Nothobranchius furzeri: one gene and its partner. The protein of the gene in region 1 interacts with the protein of each later gene in a pairwise test. Links are inferred from orthologs where the notes say so. Each region holds a gene or a part of one and is shown on either strand. Other genes may lie near its edges.

Evidence for each region. The genes of interacting proteins can lie anywhere in the genome.
Region 2: the proteins of prpf31 (region 1) and khdrbs3 interact in binary tests that used the Homo sapiens proteins (3 or more experiments, as listed by UniProt). The two-hybrid records come from large-scale screens. The link is inferred for Nothobranchius furzeri from reciprocal best matches to the Homo sapiens genes PRPF31 and KHDRBS3.

Annotation. Positions count from the first base shown.
Region 1 is NC_091745.1:76,607,040-76,612,615, reverse strand, and holds the start of prpf31 (U4/U6 small nuclear ribonucleoprotein Prp31), read left to right. Parts: upstream 1-1,734; 5' UTR 1,735-1,874; intron 1,875-2,878; coding exon 2,879-3,094; intron 3,095-3,170; coding exon 3,171-3,231; intron 3,232-3,336; coding exon 3,337-3,420; intron 3,421-3,517; coding exon 3,518-3,615; intron 3,616-3,984; coding exon 3,985-4,091; intron 4,092-5,199; coding exon 5,200-5,369; intron 5,370-5,444; coding exon 5,445-5,576. Other genes in the region: uncharacterized protein lmtk3, read left to right, coding at 113-228. UniProt on the Homo sapiens protein: Involved in pre-mRNA splicing as component of the spliceosome. Required for the assembly of the U4/U5/U6 tri-snRNP complex, one of the building blocks of the spliceosome.
Region 2 is NC_091751.1:1,192,380-1,197,988, forward strand, and holds the start of khdrbs3 (KH domain-containing, RNA-binding, signal transduction-associated protein 3), read right to left. Parts: upstream 3,488-5,609; 5' UTR 3,152-3,487; coding exon 3,061-3,151; intron 1-3,060. UniProt on the Homo sapiens protein: RNA-binding protein that plays a role in the regulation of alternative splicing and influences mRNA splice site selection and exon inclusion. Binds preferentially to the 5'-[AU]UAAA-3' motif in vitro.

The DNA of each region.
Region 1 (5,576 bases):
TTTCATCTCAGTCGCATCAACAACGAAAGGGGCGGAGGAGATGAGTCCGTCCGCAGCTCGAGTGTGGACATTTCTGTTGTGCCACGGCTTAAATGCTTTCTCTGTCCCTCAGGGCCGAAAAAGGGCAAAGACTCCAAAAGGAAAGAGGACTTACCGATCAAGCCGAGGCCGCCCGTGACTTCCTCCCGCTTCACTGTCAGCCCCGCCGATGACCCCCACTCGGTGTGATGTAGAACATCATCACAGGAACTCTCAGAGACGAGCCCTCTCCAGAGGGCAGTGAATTTACCCAACAACCAGCCATTCACCCAGAAGATATTTTTTTACTGAACAGGCGACCAGAACGTTGAGACGCTGACTCTGGACACATTCCCGGACTTCGCCAGTGACAGGATCTTGTATGAAAAGTTATCTGAGCTCCTGCCTGCCACTGTTTACAGAGTCTTTGGAAATATGAGCTTATGTTGGAAAAAGAGCAACTTTGGAGCTTTGTAAAATCTGAAACAACTTTGTCAGCTATGCAGTGGGAGTCTTGCTGTGTACCAGCGTACCTTCTCTTTTCTCCTTCATTCTGTTGAATCGTTTTCTTAGGGTGTGTGGGAGGGAGATGCACTTTCTTTAGTCGTTCATCCGTCTGTGTATACGCTTGGACTCTTCCCCAGTTTATCCTCAACGACGTTTTTCTTTGCAGTCAGTCCGTCGTGCTTGTAGGCAGCAGTTTCAAGCAGACATTTCCTGACTCCTGTATCTGAAAATACTCCTCAGCATTTGTGCAAGTATCACAACATAGGTGGACACAATATTGTTTTAGAGCTTTTGCTTTAAGAAGCAATCTTGGACTGCAAAAAAAGGTATTTTACTTTGGATTTGTATCTTAGAAAAGCATTTTTAAAATTTGTTTTATTTTTATATTTATCATACTGATAGAATTATTTGCTGTAAACCAAGTTGTGCAAATTAGTTAATTAATTTACCTATTTATTTATTTATTTATAAGTTCATTTATTTGCTTTAGAGTAGTTAACATTTATGAAATTTATTTAGTTTGGGATAAAGTGCATCCAAGTTGTACATTCTCTTAAGATCTTCATAACAAATACAATATTTTCCCAAACATTTTAATTGCTGGAAGAAAATGTATTTCGAATAATTTTACTTGTTAATATATTATGACGATCTTTACTGTGTGGAAATCTCTCTCTCTCTCTCTCTCTCTCTCTCTCTCTCTCTCTCTCTCTCTCTCTCTCTCTCTCTCTCTCTCTCTCTCTCTCTCTCTCTCTCTCTCTCGGTCTTGGTCAACATTTTCAGGAGCTTTACCACTTTTTTACTTGTTTGTTTGATAATGATTATTGTAGCTTAGCACCACAAATCAGAGCTTTTCATGAGTAAATAAGTCAATTTGTTTGTGTATTTGTTGATTAATTTATTCTTCTTTTTTTAACTAATAACAGTTGGTCATGCTGCAGAGGTCCGGCAAGTCTGTTTAGTCTGTTTCAATGTTAAACTTGTGTTGTTTTAAAATGATTTTCAAAGGGGACGATGTATAAATAAGAAGAAATAAGAAATAAAAACAGAAAAAAGTTGATATTTTACCTAAAATGTTTTCATGGATATAAATCTCACTGTTTGTCATCTTAAAACGAAGTATTCGCAAATAAAGCAATTAGTTTTCATCTATTTCTCAGTTTATGGGCCAGTGACTTCATTTCCCAGAAGGCCTTAGGAAGCTCATTACGTATTTAATCTGCGACAAGAGCAGAGCACAACATTAGCTTTAAACGGACAAATAAAATAGCAACAGCGTGTTTAAACAGATTAGTTGTCTTCTGAAGTTTTTTTTCCCCGAGTAAATAATCTCAATTTGAATCTCAGAGGTGAGTTCTAACATTTTAATAAAGCTTCAGGAAACGTTTAGGAGACGTTTGATGCCGCTAGCTAGCTAACAGCGCAGCTGGTGTGTTAACGCGGCTGAGAAAAACATCTTAAAATGTGTTAATTATTATATTTATGTTATGTGTTGCAATTTTACATGTTATTTGAAGAGCTTGAAGTAATGAAATGCCATGCAGCCACTGAAAACGAGACAAAAAGTTGTATACTACCAATAGTATTTCAATGAAATACTGTGTATGAGGTTTAAAATGTATCTTTAGCAAACTATAATTTTAGTTTAATAGCAGTTTCAGGTTTACCGGTTGCACGAGATAATTTTGGTCGTGTATAAATGTTTAGAAATCAGTTAAAATGAGTAATAATGTAAAACATAGTGATTTGCTGTACATTTGTGTTTTCAGCCTTTTGAAATAGTGAATGAGACAGTATTTGGTGTTTTAGAAAAGCAGGTTATCTCTATCTGTGTACATGTATGTGCCAGTGTTTACTTGGTTTCACTAAAATAATGTGATTTAATCCAACGAAATATCAAATTACATATTAAAATTAGATTATTTAGTAGAGGTAACTACTGGCATAAATACGCCTTCTATTAAATTTTTCCAAAGATTAATGAAGTTTTAAATTAAAGAAACAGAAGTATGGAGTTAGTGGAAAAACATGTTCAAAAATCTGAAGATCAGAGCTACAATAAAAATAGATGTTCATCATTAAGATGAGGCTTTTATTACCATTCTTTCTTTTTCTCTGTGTGTGTGTGTGTGTGTGTGTGTGTGTGTGTGTGTGTGTGTGTGTGTGTGTGTGTGTGTGTGTGTGTGTGTGTGTGTGTGTGTGTGTGTGTGTGTGTGTGAAAATGTAGAAGAAAAGTGCTGTTATGAATATACTGTCTAAGATGAGAAGGGGGTGTACACAGACACACACTTTGGTTTGTTTTCATGTATTTATCATCTTCATATTGTTATTTTTATTCGCTGCTCTTTTGCAGATGTCTCTAGCAGACGAGCTCCTGGCTGACCTGGAGGAGGCTGCAGATGAAGGAGAAGAAGGATTGTATCCAGATGAGGAGGAGGGAGACAGTGATGGAGAGGGGATCCAGGGAAGGACACAGGCAGGGCTGGAAGACATTCCAGAGGAGATGGAGGTGGACTACAGTAAAGCTGAAAGCGTTGCGTCCATCGCCAAGCTTCGCAACAGCAAGCAGGTTATCATCTGAGTTTTCTGTGTAGTGAGATGTACAATAAAACATTAGAATCCCACTTAACTGTGTGTGTTTTTAGTTTTCAGACATCATGGACAAAATTTCAGAATATGTGGGAAAGCAACGCAAAAATTCAGACGGTCAGTTTGATTCCTTTGAGTTTCATCAATGCTCAGGCGTCCCTCACAGCATTTAAATCAGCTCGGTGCTGACAAATCTGAAGTGATTGCTGTGTTTGTTTTTAGTCTCTGGTCCTGTTGAGGCTGATCCAGAATACAGGCTGATCGTAGCGGCCAACAACCTTACTGTGGAGATCGACAACGAGCTCAGTGAGTCAGCTGGCTGTTCCGCTGCGAGGAACCGTGACAGAAAAGCGTGAGGAGTAATTCCACACATCTAATTTTTCTATTCCTTTTGTACTTTTAGACATCATTCACAAGTTTACAAGAGACAAATACTCCAAGAGGTTTCCTGAGCTCGAGTCTTTGGTGCCAGATGCTTTAGATTACATTCGCACAGTCAAGGTGAGCTGACGTCTTGATTCTGAATTTCACATTAAAATGTCACCTTTTTGAATATTTGTGTCATTGGTTAAATGTAATAAATATTTTCTGAAGGATTTGTGAAATCACACAATTCTCTGCTGTTTATTTACATTTTTAATTTTATCTCCAAACTTTTTAAACGTAAAACCGGATTAGTTTTTTTTTGTTTGTGTTTGTGTGTGTGTGTGTGTGTGTGTGTGTGTGTGTGTGTGTGTGTGTGTGTGTGTGTGTGTGTGTGTGTGTGTGTGTGTGTGTGTGTGTGTGTGTGTGTGTGTGTGTGTGTGTGTGTGTGTGTGTGTGTGTGCAGATTTAGCAAAACATTCAGTAATATTTGTGTGTTTTTTGTAGGAACTGGGAAACAATCTGGATAAATGTAAAAACAATGAGACCCTGCAGCAAATCCTGACCAATGCAACTATTATGGTTGTCAGTGTCACCGCATCGACCACACAGGGGTGAGTTTTCCTGTCAGAATCCTGTTTGGCGAGTGAACAGCATGAAGTTTTTGAATAATTCAGATGTTAAAGGGGCATTATGGAAGTTTGACAGCCAAAACATGTATAGAAATAATAAATGTCTTCTTCATACATTCTCCTGCAATGCCCTGGTCCTGTAGAATGAGCCCTGGCATTTTTACTGTGATTGCCTGTTTTTCTGTAAAATCACAGAAAAAGAGAGATGCTCGGGTCGAGCAGGCTGCTTCATGCGCGTTCACGCTCAGGCATCGCCCGTAGCATTTGCTATCCGTAGCTTTAGCAGCAGAGAGAGAGGCAGTGCCACTTTGTCGCTGTTCCTAACGCCTAGTGACAAAGCTAGCTACATTTCTGAGGACCCTTAGCTACTTTCTGTAGAACTTTCTTCTAGATATTTCCTGCAAATTAACAACAAAATAGCCATTTTCACTCTGAACCGTTCTTTGGTTTGATGTTGTTTCAGCTGTCATCAAGGATATAAAAGTTACAGATACTATGAATGTTACTAGAGTGTAACTCACCTTGTAAGATGTCTGACTCCCATGCAGAAGACCTGGGTTCAATTCTGGGTGTGAACATAGTTTATTTAGAGTTTCTTTTTTACATTAATGGTATATTTTTTACAGTAAGACGCCCAAATTTTTATTTGAGACTCGCCGAACGGCATTGAATTCACAGATAAAAAGATGTGGGTTCAACTTTCATTTTGGAACAAATTTTCAAGCAAGGGAAGGGAATGATCTGAGCATGCAGGAGGACTGACCCATCATAAACCTTTGTCGGCTGTGCTGAAGAGAAAGGTACAGAACCAAATTATTTAATTAATTAGCTGCGTGTTCTCCTGTCCTCTGTCCTCCGGGCCACACACACACACACACACACACACACACACACACACACACACACGCACACAAGGGACTGTCTCAGCTGTTATTTTCATTTAGGAGTGTGCACGTACAGCATGCACGCCTCGTGCACGAGCCTACTATTGAAGCTGCCATTACGCTTTTGGCCTGAGGGGGCAACCGCGAGCATAAAATTTCAAAACTCCGTAAAGTCCCTTTAAAAAAACTTTTTTTTTTTTTTTCAGGTGTTTGCTGAGCGAGGACGAGCTGAAGCAGCTGGAGGAGGCTTGTGACATGGCACTGGAGCTGAATCAGTCTAAGCACAGGATTTACGAGTACGTCGAGTCAAGAATGTCTTTTATAGCCCCGAACCTGTCCATCATTGTCGGAGCATCGACCGCTGCGAAGATTATGGGTGAGAGGCGGTTCACGCTTGCACCTGTTGTAGGTGTTTCAGATCTTTATTTCCTTTTTGGTATTCTTGCTGCAGGTATCGCTGGTGGTCTCACCAACCTTTCAAAGATGCCAGCTTGTAACCTGATGCTGCTGGGAGCTCAGAGGAGAACCCTGTCCGGCTTCAGCAGCACGTCCCTGCTCCCTCACACCGGTTTTATCTACCACT
Region 2 (5,609 bases), on another chromosome or scaffold:
GCTTCAGTAACTAAATCAGTGTTTATTCTTATTTAATGTATCGTCCTGCTTGTTTTTCAGTCTGTTGAAGAGTTGCGTGTTCTTGAGTTATGAAGCGTACCCTCGCACCTCCTCTTCCTCTTCTTTGCTGCCCTCTGAAGAGTACTTTTCTTCCACGTGAACTTTATGATGACTTTTATTTCACACACATCCAGACTGACACAACTTAATCGCTCTAAAGCAATGAAAATAAATAATTCAGCAAAGCAAACAACTACAACCAAACATAACTCTTCATCTATCACACATTTTCTCTTACATCTTTATCACTGCTGCTCTCTTAAACTTTAATAAGTTAAGTTTGATAAGTTGTGAAATTGGTTCATTGCTGATTAAGTCGTACAAAAATGTGATTTATTTGTGCTTTTGTCATGTTTCACTTTTAAACTGTTTCACAGTCAGAGTAGCTCCACAGTGTGTACGGGGGTGGGCGTTCCTTGAAGCAGCGTATCATCAAGTAAATACCAGCCGGTTAATGAATAGAAATAATTGGTTGCAGAAACACGGTGAATATCTACATGGAGGATCTAAATGATAAGCGAACATTCAGATTCGCTTTTCTATCCAGAAGCAAATTTAAAGTTAAATTATGCTAAGCTTTGCTAGGGTCCATCACAACCCTTTTACGAACCCATGGATGTCTTCAAGCGTATAGTATTTTATTTTAATTGACACGGCAATTCACTCTAAGAAATGAAATCTTGAATTTACCTAACCAAGTTGTTTCCACTGGTTCCACTAAACAAAAACAAATGTTAGTTTATGGATTCTCCGATCTGACTGGAAATCGGGCATAATCACATAATTTTCAAAGGATTGGGAAACGGGGAAATGGTCATTTAACCTGAAAAAACAACAAACAGGTTTTAAAATTCATCCTGAGAGAGATTTACAAATGTTATAACTATGGTCCTGTTTTCATTTCATCAAGTTCTTCTACATTAATATTCTTTGTTTCTTCAACAAAAACAACACCGTAGAGCCCCACAGTTTACGGCAGACAGTAAATAGGCAGTAAGTAACGGGTATTTATATAGGTAAGTAACGTGTATTTATATAGCACCTCTCACAAGTAAAAATACTAAGTGCTTCACAACAAAATCACAAGACCGGAATAGGAGAAACAGATAAAACTAGAGTTACTTGCAGCTGAATCCGTGAGGTCAGAAAGTCGTAGGACTGCAACAGCACGGATGATTTCAGAGGTCCACACAACAACAAGCAGAGGGAAAGACAGCTGCATGTTTCCAAAGACGTCTGTGCTTTCTTTTCTGTTCTGTTTACATCCGCTACGGGGGTTTTAATAGGAAATGGTGTACTTTTAGCTGCAGCTGTTTTATTTTGAAAGATATCCTGATGTTTAACACTCATTTCATGTTTGACTTCCTGTCTGACCCTATCTAAACTGCTGAGTGTGACGTGTTTTGGAAGCGTAGCACATAAAAAATATATGTAATGTGTGTATACTGGCATGGACGTAGTTCTGACTTCAAAAGTGGGGGGGACACAAGGGGCATGAGGACCGGGGGGGGGGGGGGGGGGGGTCTCAGCCTTATAAACAAACTACTTTCTTGACATTTTCCTTCAAGTGTCGCTAAAGCGAATCACCTGTTTCCCTTAAGCCCTAGTTTGACACCAGTATTCCCAGTTCACTGCAGCAACTCGGACAAAAACACGGAGCCAGCCAGCAGTAAAAGATGCGTTAATAAAAAAGAGAAACTGCCGCCTGAAAACATAACATCGGGTTTCACCGTGCTGGAGCCGTGCTGCCACGGTAGCTACAGGTGTTGTGCAGAGAAAAGTGAGCCCGTCGGCCGTGGTGCCGCATGCCGTCCCCGTTGCTGGAACGCGCGTCACTCGATACAGCTGCAAGGACGTAAACAATTTGAAATACGAGCAGCAATGCTACTTTTAAATATTTTCGTAATTTTAACCCTTTTTTAGCAATGTTCCTAAAAAATGTTTTGTGGCAATAATATAAACTTAAAGGACAACTTGGATGTCTTCTCTTTTTTCTTATACCAAATTATTGCTGAAGTATCAGATCGGGAGCAAAGAATGTGACTGGAACATCCCAAACAACAACGTATAACAATGCTTACTCTAGGTTTAGCGGAACCAGTTGACATAACTTGGTGAGAAAATTCAACATTTTATTTCTTAGAGTGTATAAACGATAACAGCAACAGGATCCGGGGATTCAACAGACTTAATTACAGTACCACCAGATTGGTTTAAGTCACTCAAATGGATCCCAAAAAAGCACACGCAAGTACACTTTAAATAATGTTTTGTTGAATTTACTTAACAAATGTATGCCGACTGGTTCCACTAACTCTAGTTACATTAAAATATACAACGTTATATGTGTTATGTTACTCTTTACACATAAGGAACTAGGTCGACATAAGTTGCTTAAGGAAATTTTACATTTCAATGTAGTATTTAATGGTAAAAAATTTAAAAAAAATAAGTGCACATCCAACATGAGAAGCTCAGCAAGGGAGCATCTGGAGAAGGGAACGCAAAACTCTCAGCTTCAAAGCTGGGAGTAGTGGTTTAATCACGGTGGCAGCTCCTCTCTGTGGGTGTGTGTTTGAAAAGTGGCAAACACACGTACCTTCCAATGTGAGTAAAATTATTCCAACACATTTCACACAACTTCTGCATGTTTCACTGGTGCTATTAAACCAGTCAGGGGATATATTTACTATAAATGATTACATTAACTGCCCCAACTCACCGGAATTAGGAAAAAATGATTTTAACCAAATTAGGTGGTAGAATTTGACCTAAAATAAATATGTCCTAATTGTCATATGATGTATTTGACCTGTTTGAGAATGTTTTCTGAACATAGAGCGATTACACTTAAATCTGTCTAAAGTGTGACTAATTTACTAGAAGAACCACAAACATCTTATTTCTGGAGCAGAATTATAACCTAAAATCCGTTCAGCCCGACCACTGTAATCGAACAAAAAGGGTGTTTATCACCAGGATTTGATCACGGACGTTTACCCTGATCCAGCAGCCGCAGGGAGTGCTGAAAAGACGGATCCAGTGTGTCCTTCTCTGCCAAAAGCTCCGGCAAGTACTTTTCCATTTCCATCTCGCCCTCGGCTTCGGGGCTCCAGACTCGGGTGCGCGTCAGGTGAAAGTCAGAAACGCGGGGAGAGAAAAAATGAACAAAAATTAAAAAATATTGAGCAAAAGTTACCCAGCGTCCAGAAGCTTCCAGTCGTGCGTGTTTCTGTGGAGCAACAACAATAATGTCATTCGAGCTCGCGCTACGGACGCATCCCACGGTCCTCGCGGAGCTCGGGCGCGCGCAGAGAACTGTTGGGACACGGGCGCAGGTTTAATTCCGTAAAAAGTGCCGCTGAGCCAGGACGCAGCTCCTCTCCTCTTTGGGTCCCCTGGATTATTGAGGATCCCTCTGAGATGTCCCCGGCAAGCGAGAAGGAGGCGGGGCCACGCGCAGCAGCTATAGGCGGTCACTGTTTCCGCAATTAGCCTGTAACAATAATAATAACAATAATAATAATAATAATTATTATTATTATTGTTATTATTATTATTCAAGAAGTTCAGAGAGTTTTAAATAGGTCAAAAATAATCTCACCTGATTAAACAATTACATTTTTAAAATATGGGAAACAAAGAAATAACAGCAACTTTTTCATTATTTCATACATTTATGGGAAAGAAACTATCTTGAGGAATCAAGAATTATTTATGCAGCACGAGAGCATGAGTTAAACTAAATTAATAAAGCTGCACTTTGAAAAGAGGACCCAAAAGGCATGGGGTACATGATAATACAATATCTTATGTAGTACTTTAGTGGTGCATATCTAATACTGTGCAACATTTAATGTAATTGGGTTCTGTCTAGAAAGCAGGCTGGTGGGAGTCTGATTTAATCAGATGCAGATGTTGAAGGCTAGAAGATACTGTTTTGTTTTTAGTTGTTTTTCTATCTAGAAACAATTTCCATCCATCCATTTTCATCCACTTATCCGGAGTCGGGTCGCGGGGGCAGTAGCCTAAGGTGAGAGGCCCAATCTTCCCTCTCCCCAGCCACTTGGGCCAGCTCCTCCGGGGGAATCCCAAGGCGTTCCCTGGCCAGGTGAGAGACATAGTCGCTCCACCGTGTCCTGGGTCTACCTTTAGGTCTCCTCCCAGTTGGAAGTGCCTGGAAAACCTCACCAGGGAGGCGTCCAGGAGGCATCCTGACCAGATGCCCGAGCCACCTCAACTGGCTCCTCTCGATGTGGAGGAGCAGCGGGTCTACTCCGAGTCCCTCCCGGATGACCGAGCTTCTCACCCTATCTCTAAGGGAGAGCCCAGCCACTCTTCGGAGAAAACTCATTTCGGCCGTTTGTATCCGCGATCTCGTTCTTTCGGTCACTACTAGGGTTGGGCATCGTTTGATATTGAACAATTCAGATTCTGATTCCAATTCCAATTCCTTGTTTCGATTCCGGTTCCTATCAATTCCCGATTCCGATTCTTTCAAGACACGACAAGCTTTACATGAGCCAGCTAACCACAGGTCCTACTTGATGAAATAATCTTAACTTCAACATGAATTTTAACTCTATGAACAACAACATCACCTTCATTTAGACGCAAACATGTTTTGGAGACAAAAGAAGACGACTTGCAGCACAACCAGTGTGTTTGTTTCTGACCACAACCAAAGTCTGGAAGAAGCCTCTGGGATGAGAGGCTAAATGTCTCCAACATATCCAGAAACGTCCAGCTGTTTTCAGCTGGAACTCTCAGGATGATCATGTCCAGGATGACGGAGAACTACACCTCCATGCTGCAGCAGCGCTCAGTCACAACAGGAAGTTAGATGTAGCTGCTGTCAGTAACAAGCTAACAGATTCAAACATTAAAACTCTCAACACACACACACACACACGAGTGTTGGTGAGCAGCTGTGTCTGACTGCTGACGCTCCGTGTGTGTTGTTATTTCTGCAGTGAGACAAACTCGCCTCACACCGTCCAGAGTTTGTTCTTTAAAGCTTCTATTAAATCCACCGTGTTGACGTATTTGAACAAGTTTCCTCTACGCTGCAGGAGTTAAAGTTTACATTACTGAGTAAAGGTTCAGCAGATGGTTTGTTTATATTTGGCCGCTGCGCGGCCGTGGGGGGAGCTGCACACACACAGCTGTGATCAGCTCTGAAAAGTTGATCACAAATTGCAGATCACGTTTATTTTTCACGGAGATCGGCCGCGGACTCCTCCTCCGTCGGCATTCTAGAAATCGAAACTAGGAATAGAAATAAAAAACTGAACAATTCCGGGAAAAACTAACAGTTGGAACCGGTTCCAATCGATGCTCGATGCCCAACCCTAGAAAGCTCATGACCATAGGTGAGGGTAGGAACGTAGATCGACCGGTAAATCAATAGCTTCACCTTCTGACTCAGCTCTCTCTTCACCACAAACCGGTACAACGCCTGCATCCAGGCCGGATTAACCATACGGGCAACTGGGCAATTACCAGAGGCCCACGAACTCTAAAGGGCCCAGGGCAGCAAGGGCACGAGC